Oryzias latipes: one gene and its partners. The protein of the gene in region 3 purifies or fractionates together with the protein of the main gene of each other region. This does not show direct contact. Links are inferred from orthologs where the notes say so. Each region holds a gene or a part of one and is shown on either strand. Other genes may lie near its edges.

The links. Proteins that work in one complex are often made in the same cells at the same time.
Region 1: the proteins of mitogen-activated protein kinase 7 (region 3) and pfdn5 purify together in Homo sapiens (affinity purification with mass spectrometry; 3 studies listed by BioGRID and IntAct, with this or other methods). This does not show direct contact. The link is inferred for Oryzias latipes from reciprocal best matches to the Homo sapiens genes MAPK7 and PFDN5.
Region 2: the proteins of mitogen-activated protein kinase 7 (region 3) and pfdn4 purify together in Homo sapiens (affinity purification with mass spectrometry; 3 studies listed by BioGRID and IntAct, with this or other methods). This does not show direct contact. The link is inferred for Oryzias latipes from reciprocal best matches to the Homo sapiens genes MAPK7 and PFDN4.
Region 4: the proteins of mitogen-activated protein kinase 7 (region 3) and vbp1 purify together in Homo sapiens (affinity purification with mass spectrometry; 3 studies listed by BioGRID and IntAct, with this or other methods). This does not show direct contact. The link is inferred for Oryzias latipes from reciprocal best matches to the Homo sapiens genes MAPK7 and VBP1.

Annotation. Positions count from the first base shown.
Region 1 is NC_019863.2:4,451,089-4,457,278, reverse strand, and holds the start of pfdn5 (prefoldin subunit 5), read right to left. Parts: upstream 3,593-6,190; 5' UTR 3,548-3,592; coding exon 3,458-3,547; intron 2,402-3,457; coding exon 2,299-2,401; intron 1,172-2,298; coding exon 1,140-1,171; intron 955-1,139; coding exon 880-954; intron 803-879; coding exon 697-802; intron 429-696; coding exon 346-428; 3' UTR 1-345. Other genes in the region: espl1 (separin), read right to left, coding at 5,783-5,984. UniProt on the Homo sapiens protein: Binds specifically to cytosolic chaperonin (c-CPN) and transfers target proteins to it. Binds to nascent polypeptide chain and promotes folding in an environment in which there are many competing pathways for nonnative proteins.
Region 2 is NC_019865.2:24,676,755-24,682,858, forward strand, and holds the start of pfdn4 (prefoldin subunit 4), read right to left. Parts: upstream 3,593-6,104; 5' UTR 3,510-3,592; coding exon 3,480-3,509; intron 3,132-3,479; coding exon 3,024-3,131; intron 2,732-3,023; coding exon 2,591-2,731; intron 1-2,590. UniProt on the Homo sapiens protein: Binds specifically to cytosolic chaperonin (c-CPN) and transfers target proteins to it. Binds to nascent polypeptide chain and promotes folding in an environment in which there are many competing pathways for nonnative proteins.
Region 3 is NC_019877.2:8,010,224-8,016,633, reverse strand, and holds the start of mitogen-activated protein kinase 7, read right to left. Parts: upstream 4,027-6,410; 5' UTR 3,943-4,026; intron 3,920-3,942; exon of another isoform or gene 3,733-3,919; intron 3,720-3,732; exon of another isoform or gene 3,609-3,719; intron 3,112-3,608; exon of another isoform or gene 3,062-3,111; intron 2,590-3,061; 5' UTR 2,587-2,589; coding exon 2,325-2,586; intron 2,225-2,324; coding exon 2,059-2,224; intron 1,794-2,058; coding exon 316-1,793; intron 242-315; coding exon 1-241. Other genes in the region: vkorc1 (vitamin K epoxide reductase complex subunit 1), read left to right, coding at 4,694-4,875, 5,787-5,896, 5,989-6,200. UniProt on the Homo sapiens protein: Plays a role in various cellular processes such as proliferation, differentiation and cell survival. The upstream activator of MAPK7 is the MAPK kinase MAP2K5.
Region 4 is NC_019876.2:19,821,759-19,828,080, forward strand, and holds the start of vbp1 (prefoldin subunit 3), read right to left. Parts: upstream 3,593-6,322; 5' UTR 3,547-3,592; coding exon 3,466-3,546; intron 873-3,465; coding exon 748-872; intron 1-747. UniProt on the Homo sapiens protein: Binds specifically to cytosolic chaperonin (c-CPN) and transfers target proteins to it. Binds to nascent polypeptide chain and promotes folding in an environment in which there are many competing pathways for nonnative proteins.

The DNA of each region.
Region 1 (6,190 bases), on a different chromosome or scaffold from region 3:
ATTTAAGTAGGCAAAAAAAAAAAAAGCTTCAGATGATATATTTGCTGTACTGCTCTTGAAAACTATATCAACTTAGAAATTCTAATGACAACATTTATTAACTTGCATGTCCACTAAAAAGCCTGTTATAACAAGCAAATCAGTTAAAACTGAAATATAAGATATATTTAAACATCTTGTCAATAAAAAAAAATGTAGGGATTATCGGTACGTTCTAAAAAAACAAAGTCAAACGTTTGTTTAAGTTATAGTGAGCACTTTAATGATCCGACTGACCAAAGCAACACAACAGTATCGGTAGAGTTTTTGTGGGTGGAGTTAAAAATGCAGAAAGTGTTGCTCTCATTAAGCCTTGCTGGTCCCAACCGCCTGTGATCCTTGCTGACTCTGCAGCTGCTGCAGCTTCATGTTCATCACTTCAATCACAGCTGCAAGAGGGAAAACCAACATATTAAACCCGGATGCCAAAGGGACAAAAATATATTTAAAAAGAAAAAACTTTCTTTGCTGCAACAGATGCTTCATTAAATCTGAGGATAATGAAATAACTATAGTTTGTCCCGACTATAAAACTATCACTTCAGTCACATTAGCGCCTCATTAAATGTTATTTTTGTCTTCCATAAAGTAATAAGATGATATACAACAAAAATAAGAATAATTCCCAGCCCTATATCATGCGTGAGAATGGCCTACCTTGTTTCATGCCGTGTTTTTCCTGGAGAGTTGGCTGAATTTTCTCTATCTGCTTGGTGAGGAAGTCTATTTTGCGCTTGAAGAATTCTTTTGAATCTTTCACATTCTGGGAACAGAAACAGTAAGATTTACAGTCTACTGACTGTTTATGAAGTTCAAGTTTCAAAGTGCTTCCACTTTTACCTTTTCCACATAATATCCCGTTCCCACATCCACCAACACGTGCTCCACGTCGTTTAATGTGCCGGGGACGTACATCTGTTCAGCAGCTCTGCTTAAGGTCAATAGAAACAAGCTGTTTACAGATGCACAGCAAATGAAAACGGTTTGTTGGAGTTTATCTAATTTGTGGAACTTATTATATAAATAAACCTTTTCATGACAACTATAGACTTTGTAAATGACTACAAAAGACTAAAAATAGTTAGATGGATAAAGGATACAGAACTGGTGAGGGGGACGAGTAATTCTTTTCCTGTATGGAAGAAAGAGGGAAAGTTGTTAAATTCAACCATCTGTATATATTAGACATTCTGTAGCCTCCAAGACTGAAGGACAGTCGGAGACTTGGACCTGGGACTTGAGTGACACTTCAGCCTCACATGCACTGACTTGACATTTGACGTCAAGGGCTTAAAACACGACTTGGAGCTTAGGATTTAGGATGTGTGTACGATACGTATTTGTTTATTCTTGTTATTTCGCTCCGTAACATCACTGTCACCTTGAAGCTCATCAAGAGAATGCCAAGAGTGTGCAAAGCAGGAATCAAAGCAAAAGGTGTCGTAAAATACTTTTTTCTTTGTGTTTATTTGATTATATTAAAGACTTTTAAATAAGAATGACGGTACCGTGATTTAGCTGCAGTATTAACTGTTTTCTGAAAAGTCCCGCCCCTTTAACTGTCTCCGCCAATCATTCTTGGAGTCTTAATCATACGTCATCAGTCTGACCAATCAGAAGTGGTTAAAGTCTTCACTTCCTTGTTCCATTTCTGCTCATAAAGTCTCTCAGTTCCAACAAAAATACCAGCTAAAGCTCGTCTTTAGCGGTGTAGCTTTCCACAGAATCCGGTGTCAGACCGTGGAACAAGGGAACAAAACCATGAAGCTCCAAGACGCCAGTCTGTCTGGCGTTTGCCGGCTGTTGACACTACATCTCCCATGATGCATTGGGTTAAAGTGGCAGCGTATCAGTGTACAATGAGTCTTCCTTTGACGTCTTGAAACCACAACGAACACACACCAAACAGTTTTTAAATCTTCTAACTTAACTTTTATTACATCTTTTAGAAAACCAGCTGCAGCTTCCAGCTTTTTCTGCCACAATGATCACAACAATGCATGTGAGATTGCAGAGGGGCTGTAGATCAAAACAGACTAGGAGTTTTATTTTTATTTTTGGATGCTGGTGTGCCACAGGATTTTTGTCAAGGTTAAAGTGTGCCGTGGCTCAAAAAAGGTGTGAAAACACTGATCTATGCGCACGTGGTGTGACGGTTAAAAGAGGTGCCATCCTAAGCAAAGTTAGAAGTAAAACTATAAAACATTTTTTAAAACATTAATGATCAAACAAATTACCAGTAAGGGACATTTTACATACCTTTGTTGTTTTCGGTCAGTACATTTAAACTGTCTTTTGCTTCAACATACTTGGTCTGCACAACTTTGAACTGGCCAATTGAAGAAGTCAAGAATTCAACTTCCTGGGAAAAAAAACACAGCATGAATTTCAAAAAAGCAATTAAAAAAAATTAAAAGAAACACCCCAGAGGAGTTCCATCTATGTACTCAGATACACCACCATTCACTAGTTTTAGAAAACGAATGTTTCCAGTTTTTTATTGACGCATAAGTGTGATGTTTTGTTGCATTGTGAAACAAAACTGATAGTAAAGCTGAGAAACTGAGGTTGCAAAAGCAGATCCTGGAAATGACCAAGTTATGCCAACACTCCTGCTGCCCCGTGGCCACAGTTTGCAGAAATGTTGAGCTGGCAGTTTCTTTCGGCCACCAAGCGCGGTCTGGACGGCGCTCAGCTGGAAATGATCGCACACAGGCTTTTTGGTAACGGTTTCAGTCGTGCTTTTGTGCAATTTTTCTTTCCAGCACGATTGTGTTCAATAATTTAGGTAGTTTTTCATTAACATAGTCATATCCTGAAATGCTACAACAATTTACTTCAGTGAGTGATGTTGTTATTTGATTAATTTTGTAGATGTTTAGCACTGACATCTGCCACATAGAGGTAAACTACACTAAACTGCACACCTGTGACTACTTCACCAGGATAGATTCTGTTGCATTTCTTGAATTCATTAGAATTTATAATAATTCCCAACGCCAGAATGCCTTATCAATAAGGGTATTATATGTTCTAGGGGTGTAAGAATAAACGTAGTTGAACCGAAGCGTTTCAGTACAGCAGGTTCGGTTCAGTTCACTTCTGTACCGTTAGGTACGTTTTTTCCCCCGGATGTGTGCATTGTAAAAACTCAGCTGCTTTGTCACTCATAGCGGGTGTATTGGTTGAATGACAACAATAAGCCTGATTCAAAATTTAACAAAAAAATGTAAATAATATAATGATAAGGCCAGGCAAGTTCAAACTGTGACTCATTTCTCTTAACTCTTGAAGGTCGCTACCCATCCTGTCTATGTATCAATTAAATCCTATAAAGTCTAAGGACAAATTGTAAAATAAACTATTGTCGGTTTTTTCTCTGTCAACTCAAAAACCCTTCTTTACAACCGAGCAGCACCTGAAACTCCACGCCCCTGCGGGGAAACATCATGACCCTCCGCGGCCGCTGCGCTGCTCTCATTCCCGCCTTTAGCGTAGACGCCTTCATGAAGAAGCAGCGGTCACATATTCAGTCTAAACTCACGCATTTTACCTGGTCCAGCTGGCCTTTGAGTCCTTCTAACTGCGGCAGAGAGAGGTCTGTGAGATTCACCGCCATGTTGGAAGCGTGGTGACAAAAGACGGATTCTTCTTCCGGTTGCGAGATGTACTTCCGGTTGACATATTTTCCGGTTTATTAGAACATGAAAGCTGTTTCAAAGTAAATATGATTTAAAATGAAATGCAAAAAATAAATAAATAAAAGGAAAGAAGAAAACTTCCTTTTTAAATATGTTGACTAGCTCTAGTTTATATGACTATTTTCTAACGCAGACTCTGCATAACAGTTTCTTTGATTGAAATTGAATGGGTTTTTTTCTGCAGAATATTAAAATTACGATAAGCATGAAGGTCAGTCGTAGTAAGACAGAATACATGTGTCTGAATGAGAGGGATCAAGGTAGAAGCGTTAGGTTACAGAGGGCTGAGGTGAAGAAGGTGCAGGAGTTTAAGTACTTGGGGTCAACAGTTCAGTGTGATGGGGAGTGTGGAAAAGAGGTGAAGAGGCGAGTGCAGGCAGGTTGGAGCAGTTGGAGGAAAGTGTCAGGAGTGTTGTGTGACAGAAGAGTGCCAGCAAGACTCAAAGGAAAGGTGTACAAGACAGTGGTGAGACCAGCTCTGCTCTATGGGTTAGAGACGGTAGCAGTGAGACAGAGACAAGAGGCTGAGATGGAGGTAGCGGAGATGAAGATGTTGAGGTTCTCCTTAGGAGTGACCAGGTTAGACAGGATAAGGAACGAGTACATCAGAGGGACGGCTCATGTTGCCTGTGTTAGCGACAAAGTCAGAGAAGCCAGACTGAGATGGTTTGGACATGTTCAGAGGAGGGATAGTGGATATATTGGTAGAAGGATGTTGGAGATGGAGCTGCCTGGCCGGAGGGCAAGAGGACGGCCAAAGAGGAGATACATGGATGTCTTAACAGAGGACATGAAGTTGGCTAACGTTAGGGTAGAAGATGTTCATGATAGAGTGAGGTGGAAAAGGATGATTCGCTGTGGCGACCCCTGATGGGAAAAGCCAAAAGAGAAAGAAGATTAAAATTACGATAAGAGACCATGGAAACGTACAATAATCTGGTTTTTAATTTAGTCAATTACATCTGCAGGTTGAACAACTGCCATGCAGTCTGTGGGTCAAGTATAGGGGCCCATACTTGTTCTAGTTTGCATATCAGTTACACGAAGCATTTGGCTGCATGTCATACTGTGTGTTTGTGACAAATATTTGAACTTTCTATTTTTGCTTAATATTTATTCAATATTGAAACATGCAGATTAATGACCTAGTATTTTCTAGACAAAATTGACACTACTTTCTTTATGCCATCACCCGCTTTGAAGTTTGGATTTAGGAATTAAATCTTAAGGTAGGCTACCTGAGGTTTGAAGCGTAGTTTATACTCTTATTCATAGACAAAAACGGCAAATTCTACCAAAACTCAAAAGAACCAAATTAAGACTTTTCCCCTCTTTTTCAGGACGTCCTGCTTCCTTTTTCATAGGCAGATTAAAAATTAGATTTGTCAATATTCAAGTAACACAAAGTAGAGAAAAAATCTACAAATGTAGACAACATTGATGCAGAGCCATTTCAGAATGTTTACAGCAAGTCTTCCTTAAACTTTGTTTTTTCAAGCTCTTACACTAAAGTTTTTATTTGTCGTCACCTCAGATGTGCATATGAAGGCAAATTGGGTAGCATGATGGTCCTTTGCGTCACTCAGGTGTTAAACAATAACAACCAGTTTTCAAACAACTTTTAAAGCCGGAACTCGAAATGTAGTTCGAAAATTAAACTAATCTCTCCCTAAATCTGATCAACAAGGTCAAGTAGACCCAATCTTCCCTGCTCCAGATCAGCTAGTCTTATGCTGTATTAATCCCAAAGTGAATTATAAAGAAAGTTTCAGAGAATCAAGTTTGCTCCCACAGTGTTAATACTAGTTTTTGGAGTCTTAATAACCTCTGGAAAACAAGCAAAATATGCATGAAGACATTTATTCAAAAAAGCAAATCATTTGCTAAAAACATTTGTACAAACCTATTGGAATCATTTTCAATATTAAAAATAGTTAAAAATAGAAAAGCTGAGTTAAATACAAGTCATACATTAGTAAAAGTCAAACATTTCTTCAAAAGAAATGACTCCATAATGTCACTTCCTCTTTGCAGCCTCAGTCCTACTGCAGGTGAACTGGAAGGCCGTAGACCACAGGTGCAGCCCCTATCAGGTATTTCAGGTTTGTGGCCTGACGTGATGAAGCCATGAACTCCAGGATAGATGCGCCCGACCCCGCAGATAACCAGGACTCCAGCAGGGCTTTGGTGAAGCGGTCAATGTCTCTATCAGTCACATCCCACAGGTTACCCAAAATGAAGGGGCTAAAAAACAGAAACAACAAACAAGTCTCCCATAAACTGAAGAAAACTTAGAAATTAAAGAACGAGAGGAGGAAATGTGACGTTTAAAAATCAAATTGAAATGTTTTAAAATGTTCCATGTCTATGAACAAAATAAAGATATCACATTATTCTGGTTAAATTGCTTATCGCAAATATAAAGCAGATTAATAGATTTGATTATGATG
Region 2 (6,104 bases), on a different chromosome or scaffold from region 3:
CACACCAGCATCCAAAAATTAAAAAAAAAAGAGAAAGTCATAGTCTGTATTGATCTACAGCCCCTCCACAATCTCACATGCATTTTTGAGATAATTGTTACAGAAAAAGCTGGAAACTGCAGCTGTTTTTTTCTAAAAGATGCAATAAAAGTTAAGTTAGAAGATTTAAAAAAAGTTTGAAGTGTGTTCGTTGTTTTCAAGACTAACAACAGATCTCCTTGTGCGCTGTCACCTTCACAACCCAATGCATCATGGGAGATGTAGTGCATTAAACGGCCGGTGGAGATCGCTTTTCTGAGCTTCATTGTTTTGTTCACTTGTTCCACGGTCTGATACCGGATTCTGTGGAAAGTTACACCGCTAAAGACGAGCTTTAGCTGGTATTTTTGTTAGAGCTGAGCGACTTTACGAGCTAAATCGGGACAAGGAAGTGAAGACTTTAACCACTTCTGATTGGTCAAACTGATGACATGTGATTAAGCTCCCCAAGAATGATTGGTGGAGACAGTCAAAGGGGCGGGACTTTTCCAAAATACAGCCGGAGCTGCAGCTGAATCGCGGTACTGTACAGTCATTCTTATCAAATGTGTTTAATAAAATAAAATAAACGCAAAGAAAAAGTATTTTATGATCTTTTATATTCCTAACTCCTCAGTGTTTTATCAGGGCCTGTATGAATGAACAGAGAGCTGAAATCCTGGAGATGGAAAATGTTTTTAGATCAGTTAATGAGGACAATTTCCCACGGCACACTAGTTGAAAAACACTGATATAGACAAACCCTCCATCTTTGTCAGATAGATCCGACCCAACAGCGAAATATCTCTTTGGAGCCACATATTCAACCTCGTCTTACATTCATTAAGTTTTTCACCCACATTCCTTGATTGCCTTATTTTTTGGTCTTTGTTGATATAGATGCCCAAGTATTTAACTTCTGATTTAATGGGGATATGATTGATTTCTTTTAAAGGTGTGTCATGAATAGCCAACAGTTCACATTTCTTTAAATGTAAGTTTAACCCTGATGCTTTGGAAAAGTGTTTTACTTTTTCAATAGCTGCTTTAATTTGATGCTCATCTTTTAAAAACAGTGTTGTGGCGTCTGCTAGCTGGCTAATAATGATCTCTGTGCCCAAGACATTTAACTTTTTGATTTCACTACAATTCTTAATATAAATTGCCAACATTTCAGTGGCTAATAAGAACAGATACGGAGAGATGGGACAACCTTGAGGGATCCCTACATCAACTTTGAAACTTGGGGTGGTGCCATTAGGAAGGATAACACAGCTATTGATATTCTGATATAGACCATAGATTAGGTTTCTAAATTTAGTACCAAAACCCAAATTTTCCAGTGCTGTCATTATAAACGGATGCTCCACTGAATCAAAGGCCTTGTAAAAATCCAGAAAGAGAATAAAACCATTATCTTTTATAAGGTGTCGGTATTCAATGATGTCCATAACCAGTCTTATATTATTATGAATTGAACGGCCCTTCAGAGAACCAGATTGTGTTTCCGCAATAAGTCCTGAGAGTCCGGTCTTGAGACGAGAAGCGAAAATGTACGGTAATAATTTGTAGTCTGAATTTCTTAAGGTGATAGGTCTTCTGTTGTCTATAAGTCTAGGATCCTTGTCAGGTTTTGGGATAAAAAAAAAATGTGTTTGTTCCTGTAGAGAAGTTCAAGTAGAGGGGGCAAGGGGGCCACCTAGTGGCCACCTTGTGAACTACACCTGAGCTTTATTCTTTTTTGTTTTTTAATCAATCTTCAATCTTGGCGTAGATTGCAAACTGATTTGGACAAAAGGAGTAAAACAGCAACTTTTTACAGATGGTAATGGTTGTTTTGGAAGGTGTGCTCTTAAAACAGCTCTACTCTACTTCCTCTGCCAGAAGAAATCAGTTCTCTATTAACTTCTGCGAGTCCGTCTATAAACCTAGGGAATTTAACGGCCACTCGTTCTCACACTGTAACATTTTTGGATCATGTAAATCAACGACAAATCTTCCCAGTAAATGCGTGCAAGATCAAATTGTCTTCTTAAAAGGTTTTGAATATCGTCTGCTTGCTGCTCACAAAAATACCTGTAAAAACAATCCCCCAAATATATATATCCCCCAAATATATATATATATATATATATATATATATATATATATATATATATATATATATATATATATATATATATATATATATATATATATATATATATATAGCATTGTTGTGATTTAAAATTAATCCAGGTGGATCCACTTTTTTGGTTAAAGTATATCTGAAGGTTAAAGTTAAAGTATATCTGAAGCAAGGAACTTCTGCAAAATTGCTTAATATTTTATTGACCTTTTAAGACTAAAGTAGTCACAGACCTCAATGTGATAGAAGTGAAATCCAGTCTGAGTAAGTCACCTTGTTTCTCTGCTGCTTGGTCAGCAGTCTAATAAACAGAAATCTATTGTTTTGCTCTAATCTTTAAAAAGACAAAAAAAAGTTAAAGTTGTCTTCTTTTTTTAAACTGCACATCTGCGTCTGTCTGACTGCTAATTGTGTCAAACAAAGTGTCAATCATTTCAGGCTGACCTTTGCAGACTCCAGCATCTTTTGCGTTTCTTCCTGCGAGTGGCTGACAAAAACGCCACCGATCTGGTACGGGATGAGCATGGTGTCGTCATCCAGCATCATGATGTCATCACTGGCGTCCTGCAGGTTCTGCAGAGTTTTCTAAGAGGAGACATCAAGCGGCTGTTAAAGATGAGCGAAAGCAACAACAAAACACGTCAACTGGTGCTTATCCAGCTGTGTTTCAAAATGCCTCGCCAACATTTGTACATAACATTACGATTCTGGAGAGAAAAGTTCTTTCATAATAAAGCATCACTCAATGATAATAAATAAAGGCAGTGACTTTAAATTCGTCTATCCACCTGCAGTTTTTAGGGTAAATTCTAGTTACTTTTCTATATTTTGTTCAACCTGTAGGTCAACACAGTTGTAGGATTTCTCCTCTACCTACTTTGTTTGCCTCGATTTCGTTTTTTAGCTCCTTGATCCGGCTCGTGTTCCTGGCAAATTTGTTGATCTTCTGCTGGTCTTCAAAGGTGACCACGATGTCTTCAACGCCCTGAAAAAAGTAAACACTGCACGTTACAGAGACTACCTCAAAAGCTTTAGATAGAGTTAGCTTGACAAGTTAACTATCATGTGTGTGTCGTTGTGCCACCTCTTTAATTGTTACTATTTTATAATTGTCGTAAATGTCAGAGCTAGCAGTTACATTTCTGATTCATTAGAGTTAGCTAGCTAACGCTGCACGTTTCTAAACCGCCGCTTTAAAACAAAACTAGCACACGCAAGTGACTCTTTTACTTTGAAAGCAGAACCTCTTGTTTGAACAGTTTCTATAACTAAAATTAAAAAAAAGCATCATCAAAGGAAGAAAACAGAATATTTGTTTGAAAAAGGCACTTACTGCTGTTGCCTTCATGGTGGCTGCTGCCATCGTGCCTTCTTCGACGGGAAACAGACGCTGCTGCTGCACAGAGAGGTTAAGCGACACCGCCACCTAGCGGCTTGGATGGTTATTACTACACAACCCACTGAACGCCTTCTAACGCCAACAGGAGCTTGACACGAAATAAATGTGTTTAAATGAGCAAGACAAAAAAGATTTGAGTTTGGAAAAGTATTTCTTTGTTTTAAAAGTGCTTCTCAGTAATACACCATCTAATGGTGGCACATGTGACCATGCAGAATTAAATTAAATTAAATTAAATTAAATTAAATTAAATTAAATTAAATTAAATTAAATTAAATTAAATTAAATTAAATTAAATTAAATTAAATTAAATTAAAACAAATTAAAACAAATTAAATTAAATTAAGCACAGAAAGAAATTGGTGAAGTTGTTTTTTTTCTGACATAGAAAATTCACCCATCTGCCTTTTAAACTTGCTTTGGGAACCAGAGGTTGCTTGAGCCTGTCCCAGCCACCACTGGTTGAAGGCGGGGGTACACCCTGGACAGGTAACTAGTCTGTTGCAGGGCTAACCAACCCCACATTCCCATCCAGGGACAATTCAGAGTAACAATTAACCTATGAAGCATGTTTGTCAACTGTGGGAGGAAGTCAGTGTGCACAAGGAGACCACACCAACTCAGAAAGGACCCAGCTGGGATTCAAACCAGGGCTGGGAGAAAACAGTGCTAATCACTACACCACAGTGCAGCTCTTATATAAAGATTAGAAAAAAAATCAAAGGCCAACATGTTAAAGTTAAAGGCTACAGCACTTCTTCTGACACTTCTATAACAGAAGAGGCAAATAACACAAATGGTAACAAACAAAAAAACCGAGACAACCAAGCAATGGCTCTTCTCAATTGTACATTGACCCAAATCAAACAGGTAAAAATGCTCAAGGAAGACTACGACGTTGTGCAATTTTAAAGACTGACTCTGATCATCTTTGGATCCATTTTAACAGTGTTCCCATGTGGTTTTCAATTATGTTCGTGCAGTTTTAGCTAAAATAAGAATAACCAAAAAAAAAACTGTGTCATAGTGTAGAACATAGTGTCTGCAGAGCAGCAGGAATTCATTAGAAATTTGCTTTTGAGTTGTGGGTGGGGCTCCTTCCTTTCATAGTTGTATAGAGCTTTCGGTTTACCTGCTCTCCTGGTAGCTTACAGCCCCTCACGCCCCCAACCTACAGCCGTACAGTTTTGAGTCAGATGCCAGCTCATCAAGACTTCTTCTTCTTCTGGTTCACAACCATTTGAATCAACAACTGTTCAGAAATGTGACTTTCTTTATAACCTCCGTCATCCGAAAAATGCCAGAAGAAAACGTTAAAAACACCAAAAACACCTTTTTTTGAAGAAGGTTTAATCTTTTTCAACGTGCAGAAAGTACCTCTCAAAAACTGCAGCCGTTTGTTCATAAAGAGAAGAAAAATAGACTTGTTGTCATTAACAGAAGTCATTTTATGTCAACAAAAGGGTTGTGCAGCAGAGTTTAACAAATGGCTTCCTTACAGGTCTCCCATTGTGAAGACCTGCTTTAAATGATTCGTTTTTAACAAAACTGTAACGTTTTTATTGGTTTTACAGTATTGTTTTCTCAGCCATTTGAAATATCCTCTACATAGTGAAAACAGCCGTAGTTTCAGCTGATCTTAGAAACTAACTAGTTGTACCTGTTTAGCAGAACTTTTCGGTTGTTTTATCATCTGCAAAAGCGCTTCATCTTATTTTTTCCCTCTCTTACAGCATCAGAGGAAATCCTCCGTGGTTTTGGCAGAGCTTTCTGTCTGTTTTTGCCTTTCGATCACGCAGCTGGTTTCAGATAACCCACGTTACAAGATTTAAACGTTACTCATTCTGCTTAAGCTTTTTATAATCACAGACAAATGCTGAAAACATAACCTACAAGCCTGCCAAAGCTGATACTATAACATCCGGAACTGCTGCTGTGTGCATGTTTGGGCAGCAAACAGAACTGCACCTAAGATCAAATATTTACCACATCGGAGGGACAAATCTCAATTCTGCGCGGAGCAATTGTGGCATCAAATTCCTCCAAACCTCATGAGTTTTATTTGATCTGCTGCTACTTCTACCATAAAATCAATAGGTCTTTTGTCAGAATGGAGCTGCTGATAAAAGCTTGTAGGCTGTTTTGCGTTGGAACTTCATGAAGAGTTGGATTGAAGTCTCTCAGCTGCAGCCTTTGCATGCAGTCATAAGAGCACAATCCAAATCCAACTCCCACCTCAGTGTGCAGGCTTTACGCAACAATCAGGACATTGTGTTCACAGATTCCAAGTCTTGTCATCATCAATTTCAATACATTTTGCACATTTCTTCCTTTTTTTTCCCTGGCAATTTCTATTATAACTTTGCTGACAAATGGCAAAATACTGCAGAATGAAAGGGCTTGAATAAAATGTGGCTTGACAGGTGGGTGTTGTAGGAAATCAAACTGAATTATGATTGCTCTAAAGGCTGAATGCACACAAAATCTTTATTAGAAAAATCTCTTGACTTGGGAAACGGCAACAATAAAGCAAATATGGGACTAGTAAAATAATGACTG
Region 3 (6,410 bases):
TCGTTGTCACTCAGCAACACCCCACCCAAAGAGTCCCCCTGTTTTCCCTCCCGTCTTTCCTTTTCTTTCATTTTTTTCTCCCTCTCTCTTGCTCGTTCCTGCCTCTTCTTTCTTTTCTCCTCTCTTTCCCGCTGACGCTCCTGGGCTGTGACAGACCGACGGGACTCTAGAACAGAGGACAGGGAGGATGAGGCGCCTCCTCCTGCACCGCAGTCAATACCGATGGCCGAGGCTCCTCCATCTGCAAAGAACAGATCAGAGAATGCACAGAAATGCAAGCCAAAAAAAACAAGGAATGATAAATATTGAGCTTACCACTCCTGGCTTTTTGTCTGATGGCAGACTTTAATAAAACTGCCTTAAGGGCATTTTTGGTGTCCTCTGAAATGGCGCCCTCTTTCCTGGTTCCCTCTGCTGCAGGTTGAGAACTCCTCGAGTTCTTGCCAAGTGACTGTGAAAGGGACTGAGAGAGTGAGTGGGCCTGTGCCACAGACAGAGACAGGGAGTGGGCAGAGGCGGGTATGGGTGCCGTCCTCCGTGGCGGTGCAGTGGTGGGAGCCTGGGCCGCTGACTGAGCCTGAGTGTTCATTAAATACTCATGAACTTCACGGTCTCTCATCGCTTCCGATGAAGCACCCTGACTAGACACTGGGGTCGTTAAATCTATCGTCTCCGGCTGGCCGCTGTCAGAGTTGGCACTGGGCATATCCACGTCAACTGGGCCACTTTCAGTTTTACTGAGAAGCGATAAATTGTGGGTCACGCATGTCCTGGTGACATCTAAAAGGGCTGCAGACTTGTCAAAGGCTTTGATCTGATCAGCAAATGCTTGGTTTGCTTCTGCTGGATGGTTTTGCTGCTGCTGTATCTGTTGTGCTCTTGGTACCATTGGAAGCAGTGAGGATTCGGTCAGATTGTCAGCAGTTGGAGCATTACTCTGGTTATTACTTTGCGCAGCGGCTCCCTTGTTCCCTCTCGGCAATGGCTTGAATTGCAGCTTCTGACGGCAGCTTTGTTTCTTTTTATGAAAGTCCTGGATTTCCATTAAAATGGCATCTTTGATTTGTTCCTTGCTCATTGCAATCTTATCAAATTCAAAGTCAAAAGCTGGAACGCATATAGGCTCGTCATCCGGGTCGTGGTATTTCGCCAAGTATGGGTGCTCGAGTGCCTCCGTCACACCGATTCGTTGGCGGGGATCGAAGCGCAACATGGCCCCCAGCAAGTCCAGGGCATCTGGTTCAGCTTGTGGGTACAGTTTGGACAAAGGCACAGCAGTTCGTGATGGAAGGCTCTGAACATAGGAGCGCACTCTTTCAGCCCTTATAGCGCTTATTAAACCCTCAGGAGGTGTGCCCAACACACTTAAAATGAGCTGAAGCTGGTGGACGTAGTGTTTCCCAGGAAAAAGCTGCTTTCGGCCCAACATTTCCGCAAAGATGCAGCCCACAGACCACAGGTCAATAGCCAGACTGTAATGGTTCAGAGAGAGGAGCAGCTCAGGAGCGCGGTACCATCGAGTTGCCACATACTCGGTCATGAAGGAGTACGACTCCTCGGGGTGGGAACTTAGCCCCCTGGCCATGCCAAAGTCCCCGATTTTCAGCTCACAGTTTTCATTCACCAGCAGGTTGGAGGGTTTGAGGTCGCGGTGGATGACGTTGGCAGAGTGCACGTACTTGAGGCCACGGAGGAGCTGGTAGAGAAAGTAGCGCGTGTGCTCGGGGGTTAGTGTTTGGGTGGAGTGGATGATCTGATGAAGGTCACTCTCCATGAGGTCCAGCACCACATACCTGGACACACAGCAAGTAAAGAGGTAAGACAACAGATTCTCCTCAAAGCATTTGAAGTGACCTCTAAAAATACTGAAATACTCTTAACTAACTTAACTAATAGAGATAAAAGTGGTTAAATCTGTCTAGAGCAAAACTTAAAGGCACACACATACAATAAATGTAAGTTTTTAAAAGATTCCCATTTTATGTGCAATTTCATCCATAGAAAACATTTTAAAATGGAAAATTGTTTTTTATGAGCCAAAAGGACACGTATACATACACAGACTTGAAGGCTGAGTGAGGAAGATTTGGCTGGAGGATGTCTTTGATGGCGATAATGTTGTCATGTTTGAAATGTTTGAGAATCTTAAGCTCTCTTAAGGTGCGTTTGGCATTTGTCACCACCTCAAAAGCGTTGGAGATTTTCTTTATTGCCACCTGCTGGCCTGTGTATGTGAAAGACACGGAGGGATGAGCAGTGAGAGTGAGGAGCAGCTCGTATTCAATTTCTTCATGTATTCAGAATGTGTGGCAGACAGTAACTACCATTGTCCCGTCTTCTGGCAGATGAAACGACTCCATATGCCCCGGTACCAATGGTTTCTATGATATCATATTCCTCCCCAACGTCAAACTTCACATCGAGAGAGTGTGCTTTCAGCAACGCCAGGTTCTTTGCCGTCGTGCTGGTGTCGGCGTCTTCCACTCCTTGTTGGTTCTGGGCTTCTCTGCCCTTTTCCGTGGCCATTCTTTCAGGTGAAGCCATGTTGGACTCAATTTTTCCAGCCACAGCATTTTTTGTAGCCATTTTCTGGAAAGATTAGAAGAAAAAGAAAAAAAACTGTTAAAAGTGGGCCTGCACAATAAATCCCATATTTTTCTGCATCACAATATCAGCAATTATGCAATTTATGGTTACCTTAAATGTTAACACACATGCAAAAACCATCCTATGGCAGCTTGACGGTTTTAACCTTTACGCATTTGACCAATCGGATGGACCCCTTTTTTGTTGATGTGGGTCCTTTGGTTTACACTTAATGTAGACTTCTATTGAAACTATTCCAATAGAAATGAAATATTTTTTGTTTTGTTTTTGTTCATGTATCGCAAGTTCAATCATCACTTCAATATTGATCACTAATATCACACATTGCATGTTTTTTTTTCTAAATCGTGCAGCCCTTTTTAAAAGACTTTCATCTACATTACTGTGAGTTTTTCTCTCTGTCACTTTACTGCTTTTCATGAAGTTAGTTTCCAAGAATTAACAAAGAACTGACATCTATACTTCCCACATGAAATCCCAGGGCTGAAATGTCACACCAGAAACCTGTTAAAACAATGTCAGCTTGGATTACTGGGTGGCCTAAATGAGTATAGACACAAAAAAATTCAACTTTATCATACATCTTCAAAAAATTCTCTACCGTAATATTTAAGCTTTATTTTGAAATAACATGTTTTGATCAAAATGTTGTAAATATCTTAAATAAATAGTTATGTGCAAATGAAACAGGTTTTGATCAAAATGATCAATAAATGGAATCAAAAGAACTTTGAAGAAACACCAAAAGTATTTTTTCTGAGAGTAACCCAGTCTGAAATAGAACAATTAAAAAGAGAAATCGGACTGTTAAAACAACAATAGTAATCAAGCCACAATGTATGTAATATCCTGTCCCTGACCAATTACAGAAAGAAGCCTTGTTTTCTGCGTAAATAGAACAATATTGTTTGACACAAAGCAAACGAATGTCATGAACATAAAGAATCCAAACAGTGCTAACAGACCGTGAGGCCCAGCAGTAAACTGGACGAACCCCCTACCTTTAGTGAAAGGTCCTGAGACAGATTAGTTAGCGATCAAATCGGCCTAACGGTAGCTTCAAAACACAGCAATTGACATTCTGTGTTGCCAACAACAAACAAAGATATATGACCGTAGCCTTACCCACTTTTTGTGACGCAGGGGCGTAACCTAACTGCTACCTGAACCTGTCTTTTCTTTTGATTAATGCCTCGAAACGGTCTTTTTTCTTGTTGTAATGAAGCTTGAATGTAAACTACACGCGAGCGTTTCTAAAATGCATGTCATATTTGTATATTCTAAGACGTTTTTACAATAATAATTATGTTTAAAGTCGGAGAAGCCTCAAAATACCTTGTGTGGAGCTTCCTCAATCGCTTCCTTATTCCTTTTGAGTGCAAAGCGAAGAACCAATGAGATGAGAGAACGTTGAAGAAATTGTCCAATGAAATTGCGTAGAAAATTTAGGGCGGGGTTTAAGAAGACAAAGATTGTCTTTGTTTATATCTTTATTATTTCCACGAACTGAGTTTAGAAAACGAAACATGACGTATTTACTGTATTTTTATTCGTTTAGTCATTTACAAAGAAAAAAACATGCTAAAATGTTGTGTTTTTATAACACGTTCACAAAGCAGCAATTAGCTGTTTTTTTGATTTTTTAAGTATTATTTACTAAAAGGAAAAAAACAATATTAAAGTAAATATAAATGCATATATACAGACTTACGCAAATCATGGAACGAAGTTTTATTTTAAAAAAAAGATTTATTTTATTCATTTGTAATTATTATTATACATCTCTCTATAAAGCTGTACAGCTTGCATGCGCACAGCAACTTTTTTTCTCTTTCTTTTTTTCCAGAAAGCTGCACAGGCTGAAGGCCGTAGTAAACAAACTTTAACGACCATATGTGAGGTTCAACATCTGGACCCAAACATCCAATGACAGGAAACCTTAAAAAGTTCCCGAGTCCAATCAGAAGAGACTGTTTCCTAACAGAGCCTCCATGCAAAGGACAAGAGAGGAAAGACTGTTAAAGCTGATCTTGGCATTTATTTCCTAAACTTTCATAGTGATCCATATTTGTCCAGACTTGTCCACATGGCTGCAAATCAGGCTATGCCGGCATGGGAGAGGAAGGCGCGCGTTTTTCTGTGTTTCTTCGGCTTGGTTTTATCCGTGTATGCCCTCCACGTCGAGCTGTCCCGTGAGAGAGACCCAGATTACAGGGCGATGTGCGACCTGGGGGAGGCTGTCAGCTGCTCCAAAGTTTTCACCTCTAGGTATGACTTCATTCTTCCTTCTGGTAGCGGCAGTAACTGCGCCAACTCCAAACTTTTTCCCCTAACAAGCTGAAAACCTGCATTAACTTCAGTGGATTCTCTCCACCCCCCAGCATTGCCACGTGTTAGAAATTCCCATTGAGGGTATGGAAGCCTGGATGTGACATACAATAAAATAAAAAGTAAATTGATTCACACTTTTTGTGTGCACAAATTAGCATTTTGCAAAAAACAGTTTAGTATTTTTGGACACAAATTAGTAGTTTGTGGTACAAATTAGTGTTTTGTTTAAAACACATAAATTTTTTTGTCCACATAAATTTGTATTTTGTGGTTACAAATTTGTATTTTATTAGCCGTTTGTGGGCATATATCTGTGCACACATATAAGCATTTTGTGGCCACAATTTAGTATTTTGTGTGCACGAATTAGCATTTCATTTGCATTTTGTGTCCATTAATTATCATTGTATGGGCACAGATTAGCATTTTGTGGCTAAAAATTGTTTTTTGTGGCCAAAAGTTGGTATTTTATTAGCATGTTGTGGACACAAAATAATATTTTGTTTAGACGTGAATATTTTAAAGGGCACAGATTAGCCAGTTTTGTGCCCACACTAGTAATTTGTGGGTACTAATGAGTCATCTGTGCCCATAAAATCCTTAGTCTTGGTCATCAAATATTAATTCGTGGTCATAAAACTATTATTTTAAGTAAATATTTTGTTGTGTCCCTGACTCCATGGCATGGACTCCATAGCATGTCTCACAAAGTTATTTCACATATTTCCAACATGACGTGCCCTTTACTTTGACAACTATTTTTAATTTTTTTTCATGCAAAGAAAACTTTTACGATTTTTGTAACATTTTCCGGAATTGGATTCCATGTTTTAATTTCTCCCTGGCAGATGGGGACGTGGTTTTGGTTTGGTCCAGTACTTTGTGGGCACAGATAGTCTGTTAAACCAGCCCAACAGCATCCTTGGCATCATATTTTACACTCTGCAGCTGGGTCTCGGTAAGTGAACCATAGTAAAATTACAGTGGACATCTTTTAGTTTAACACAGTTTAAGTTAAGATAAGTCAAATAAATTTTTGTTTTTTTGCAGGACTATCTCTGTCTAAAAAGGCAGCGCTGGCCTTGGTCCTCTCCTCCTGGGTGTCTCTGGCTGGCTCACTCTATCTTGCATCTATTTTGGCCTTTGTTTTGGGAGATTTCTGCATGGTTTGTGTGTCAACGTATGTTATCAATTTTGCACTGTTCTACACAAACCTAAAACGAAGGAGAGCGGTGGAGGCAATCAAGAAAAAAGCTGGATAAAATGGGAAAAAATCAAATTTCAAAACCTGATTAAGCCAATCTGCAGTGAGCGTAAAATGAGAAGTATCGGTTTTGCTGAATGATTTTATTATTTGTTTTGTTTTGTTTTCAGAAAAGGCAATACAGTTACATATTTTTAGCAACACTGCATTTGTGATTAAAATTTTTTTTACCATTGTCAATCCTTTATTGTTTTTCTGTCATGAGTAT
Region 4 (6,322 bases), on a different chromosome or scaffold from region 3:
CTGGTACACTAGCCGCAGGTCGGAAGAACGAATCAATAGTTCGCTTGCTCATAGCTCAGACGCACATATGAGGTTGTGGTGATATTTGTCTCCGTTTCCTTCCCACAGATGTTTACGCGCACTGGATTATCTCTAGGCCCCGCCCCCTCCACATATTTTTGCCACTTGCAGTGACTTTCCCCATTTTTCTCACACGCATTGGCCGCCTCAGGCATCATTCAATGACACGCGAGTGTGCACTGGCGTGTGCTCCAGTCTCATGAGTATTCGCGCGAGTGTGTGTGTGTGTGTGTGTGTGTCTGTCAGCGTGTGTGTGCGCTTGCGTCTCATTGATGATTTCATTGCTCATTTCATCGATCATTGACATGCCCCTTCCACGTTTAATGTATAAAAATACGGAGGCTGGTGGAGGCAAATTTACTGGTAGCACATGTGCGACTGGATGTAAAATTCAGTCGCACACTCTCAAATTTTGGTCGCAAAATGCGACCAAATGGTCTGGAGCCCTGTGGACCGATGCCCTTCCTGACACAACTCTGTATTTTCAAAGCACAGAGAGTCCCAGATAAGCACTAGCCTAAGGACCCCCACTAGATTTTTGCTCATTGCACGTCCTGGGAAGCAAACCCAGGTTTATTATATGACAGTCCATCACCCACCCAACTGAGCTACCCACCTACTACATTTAGTAGCTCCGTCATATGTATATAAAAGCAGTTCATGTGTGCTGTACAATTCTTGCATTACCTAAGTTTTTTCTGAGACAGGTTGAGCTCCATGTATTTATATTTCTGGTACTGTTCGTCCAGCCTCCTCAGGACGGTGTCTGCCGTCTCATTGCCTGGCTGCTTCATAAAAAAGTCGACATCCTCCTGTGAACCAGAGTTTAAAGAGAGAATTCTGACAAATTTATTTGACCATTGGCGAAGTCCAAATGTTGGACGTTTATTGATCTTTTAAAAAACAAAAAAAAAAACCCCACAAAAAAGCCATAAAGATCATGGCTTTAAACGTCAGAGTAACATTCTTTATCAATTATTTCTCCATTATTAGAGGTGTTTTTTTCCCTTAAGTTGATTGGAAATTTTTTCAAACACCAATGCAATTTAGGAACTTAACAATAATATATATCTTAAAAAAAGCTTGGGGAGAATTAACACGAAAAACAAAATACAAACTTAAGACGATAACATATACTACGACTTGGGAGGTTTACACATAAAAATATTGAAAAAGTATAGTTTAATAATAATCATAGTAATAGCAATATTAAATGTATTAAACTACTATAAGCTAAATTTGATTTAATAGGCTCCGTGCACGAAAGTAAGGAGTTCTACTTCCGCCGCCTTGAGTGTGAGGCCGACCATTTCCGGCTTGCGACTTCTATAGCAGCGACACGGCAGATTTTGATTGCGAAAGATGGCATATTTCACCCGTTTTCTACAAGGTCTCCCGAAAATCGACGTGAACGACATCTACAGGATTGTCGACCAGTGCATGGTTACATGGGCAAAATATCGTGTCTAAAATATATAGTGTCGAAAATACCGAAAGGAAATGCGTCCCGTTAGACAAACCTGTGCTGTCACATATTTATGCAGCAGCTCGGTAATATACGAGGCGATCTTCCAAACGTGCTTTTATTAAATTTTATGAATATTATGAAGTGCCTGTTCGCTCATCATTTTATATTTAATCCTTGTTGTCAGTGCTTTTTTTGTGGAAGAAGAACAGAACTGAAGAACAACCCAGTGTTAGGATAGGCTAACAACACGGGCTAACAACATTAGCCTTTTGATGGAGACAAAATCCAGGACAAACCATGTGGGAACCGCTGCAATCTGCATCCTGGCTGCACGTAAATGATCAGCCTTTATTTGTCTGGGCACAATTAGAAACACAATTCCATGTGTCGTGATTTTTTTGAACAGTTTCTAAGGACTGAGCGGCATTTCTGCTCTGAAAAGCTCACACACACTGTGTGCTCTGCTCTGTCCTCGCGAGTCCGGCAGCCGCTAACCCAGAGCGGCGGTTCGGCTTGCAGTCCGAATTCTCACACATAACAAAACGCACACGTAACAAAGCACCCTCCCCTCAAACACATTAATAAATCCGGCTGCTCTGCTCAGAGAGGTTCACTCGGTCCACTGGCACCGGAGCCCGAACGCAGAGCTCGGATGCTGGGTCCAGACCTCAGTGGACACGCATCCCCCCCGCATGTCCTTCGTGAGGGGTGAAAGAGAGGGGAGAGCCAGCGGGGCGAGAGCGGAGCGGCGCTTTACGCGAGGCGTCCGCAGAGCCGCTGGTCGGTCCCGCATGAGCTCACTAGCTTTCTCTCAGCGAAACACCGTCTATGCGTGACGTAACCCAGAGCAGCAGTGACACACGATCGGAATGACCGTTTACATGAACAACGATCGGTATATCCAGCTATCTCGATCGGAAAGAAATTTCGATCCGAACGAGTCTGACCGGGGCAAAGTATTCTGATCGGCGTGTTTACATGACGCATTTTCTTTCCGATTGCTGCAAATACGAAACACGACTCGTCTTGCTTGGGGTGAAGTCCTCCCGCCGTGTTCACCATCCATTCGGCTCTCGCCGACACATATACTGGAAAGCTAAGAAAGCTTATATTAGTACTGTTGTACTTTGACAAATTCGAACACGGGTACACAACAATGTTGTGATGTCTTTTTCACGCGTTGAAACAACAAACGCCTTTCTTTTACCCGAAATCCGCTCCTATTTACTCAAAACTAGCAACTCAACAAAACTCCACACAACAATAACACGACCAACAGGAAGTTGTCGGCCTCACACTCGAAACACGGAAGTTAACCGGAAGTTCTATCGTGCACGTAGGCTATTATTGACTTAAGCTTATTGTTTTAAATATTGACTGGTTCTATTTAAACCCCCAACTATCCCTGAATATTACTTTTTTTTTTTTACAAGACTACAAAACAATAAAAAAATCTATATAAAAACTAGTCACTTCTTTCCATTTAATTGCATCGATATCAAAATGCAAACACTTACATTAGCGATTGAAACACAACACAACAAGAATGGTAAATATAAATGAAAAAAGCTCACGACATTTTAGTTATTTCCAATTATTAATCAATTGCTTGTCTAATTATGGACAATACACTTAGTCGAGAAAATGTATGAAACGTATCCGCAGGTAATATAGGGTTCGTGTTTAATATTGTTTGCGAAGAAAGAAAAAGAAAAAAGCAGAAGTTAAAAAAGCCTGCACACGCAGCCCAAAGTTTCCACCCGGCCGGTGATGACCATAAATGGAAGCTGGCAGCCGCCCAGCATGCACACAGAGCGGATAATCTGTTAGCTTCTATATGCTACCAAGCTAGCACGAGGCGCCTAGCCAATAGCTGTGACCAAAAACGTATAACAGGCACCAAATATCGATAGATAAAAAAACTAAACTTTACACACCAAAAACACTGCTTCAGGGATGCCGAGGTGCTTTTTCTTTGTCGCCTGTGAAGCATTGCTGGGATCTATGGTCGCCGCCATGTTGAAGATAGAATCCTCTTTCCTGACATTCAAGCATGCGCACAAGGCGTCTCAGAAAAGGAAGGGGATTTGCTGCCTCCATCGGTCAGAATGGATAGCTGCACTAAACCGCTGCCATGGCTTGACTGTCAGAGAAATAAAAAGTAAAAGACTAACTGCAACATAAAGAACAAACCTTTTAAATTGTTAATACACATTTCAAATCAGCGCAAAATCAGCTCATGATATATAATATATATGATATAAAAATCAACTAAACGTTTCACAAAGTTATGAGACCTAAAACATGACCAAAGAACAGGACAAAAGTCTGCACAAAATCAGTGCTTCATGTTAGTCAAAGGGAAAACAACTTTAGACTTATTTTTCCTCTCTGAAATGTGAAAATATTTTAAAAATATTCCTGAGCATAAAACATATTTGATTAGAAAAGTTTCCACAACTAATGTAATTAATCCATCTTAATCATAATGTTTGGTGATTTATATTAATAATAATAATAATAATGGATTGGATTTATCTGCGCTTTTCAAGTCACTCAAAGCGCTTACATTGTGGCCATTATTCATTCACTCCTCGTTCATACTTGGTGATGGTAAGCTACTGTTGTAGCCACAGCTGCCCTGGGGCAGACTGACAGAGGCGTGGCTGCCAGTTCGCGCCTACGGCCCCTCTGACCATCACCAGGACATTCATGCACATCCACACACCAGTGGAGCCACACTGGAGGCAAGGAGGGTGAAGTGTCTTGCCCAAGGACACAACGACAGTTGGCTGGGGGGAGCAGGGATCGAACCGCCGACCCTTCGATCATTGGACGACCCGCTCAACCACCTGAGCCACAGCCCCTCAGATTGATATCATATTGTCATTGATATCAAATGTGTCACAAAATGGGCAGGTGCCTGGTTCCAATTGCAGCAGGTTTTATTAGCACAGCTAAAAGTTCACAAATCTAAATCAGGGTCAGGCAGGCAGGGGTCGATAACGAGCATGGGGGCATCAGAGAAGAAACTGGAGTAATCAGGATCAACCTTAAAGTCAAATCCACCCCTTAACGTCTCTGCCAATGGGTAATAATTGTTTATAATCTTGAATTGCATTTCTTAAATCTCGGAGTATGGGCCATTTTATGAATTTCCATTGTTGAGCACCCAATAAGACAGGTGCCTCAGTTACCTAATATTTAACTTTACTATTATAGTAATGGCATGATTTACCTTTAAGGGATTTGTTTGTACCTTTATTATCACATTTTTCTTCCGTAAATTTTGTTTCACCTATTACTAAATTTGGTAATTTTACTTGAACACTGGAAAACAACATTTTAGTGTTTATTACATGTACTAAAGCAATTGGAATTGCTTTCTGAAATTCCTTAATTAATTCTGAAATTCCTTAATTGAAAATTCAATATCATATTTGCTTTTGAAATTGCTTAATTGAAGAATGTCTCCTTTCGATTCAAGAATAACTCTACAAAAATGATCTTGTTGTCAAACCAATTCTGATTAAACATTGTTTTCCTGTTTGTGATAATTACTCTGTTGTTTCATAGGGTGACGTAGTGAGGGGTAACATTATGGCTAAATATTATTTTTAAATGGAAAAGTACTTGTTTGTGAAATCCTGATTGTCTGTAGAGGAAGTTTGGAGATTTCAAAGTCACATCTCAACAAAAAAGTCTAACCCACCTACTTTTTCGAATATGTTTTTTTGAAAATGAAACTATATTGAGTCAGGATTAGCTACAAAGTATTTTAATCATTTTATTCTAAAAGTTCCAACCATTGATTCAAAATCAATTGTCTCCCGAATTATATTCCTTTACTACCTGACATTTTCTCATGTAATGGATCTTATTTCTCTAAATAAATTGGTAAATAATTGAGTTCATTTTTTTGACATTCTTTGGGTTAATGTAAAGAGATTTGCATAGATATATTGAATTTGAAATTCCTTTTGATTTGGACTCCAAGTTTCTTCCAAAAATTGTTAAATCTCTGATCAACCAATGATTTAATGATTTCTACATTTGATACATTGAGAAGATTTCTTTTTCCAGACAAGAGTACAGGGGTAGTAATTCACATTTTTGTAAATTTAGTCGAAGGCCAGAAGCTTTGGAGAGAAAGGAAATAATTTGTAGGTCTTTAGTCACCATGTTTTTGTCCTTCAGAAAAAAGAATGTGTATTTTGCAAACTGCCTAAGACGGAACTCATAATCAAAAAATTTAATGTCTTATTAATTAGGATTGTTTAGAATTAGATATGCTTGGAGTTGAGTACATAAAATCAATCAAAATTATTCTACAGAATCAAAGGCTTTAAAATAGTCAATAAAGAAAATGAGACTTTCTGTTTCCAGCACAGATTGATACAACATATCCAGAATCAATCTAACATTATTATGTATGTTTCCTTCTTTTATAAAGGCAAATTGAAAATTATCCACTACTTTGTATATAACTTTCTTTATCCTGTTCACATAAACCTGTCACGGTGCCTGGCAGTCTCCTCCCCCCTCCAGCTCTGCTCTGATGTTCCTTATTGCCACCAGCTGCCATCACTCACCTCATCATCTTCTGTGGATTCAAAAGGAGACCCAACGCCACTACTCAACGCCAGTTTGTTACCCCTTATGGTGACTGTCCTGGTTCTAAGCTTCGTTTACTGCTTTGTACAAAGTCTCTGGCTCCTACTAATTCTATGTTCCCTGTCCCAGGATCCAACCTCTCACGAGTGACGGCAGCGCGAACCGTTCATTCTACGACTC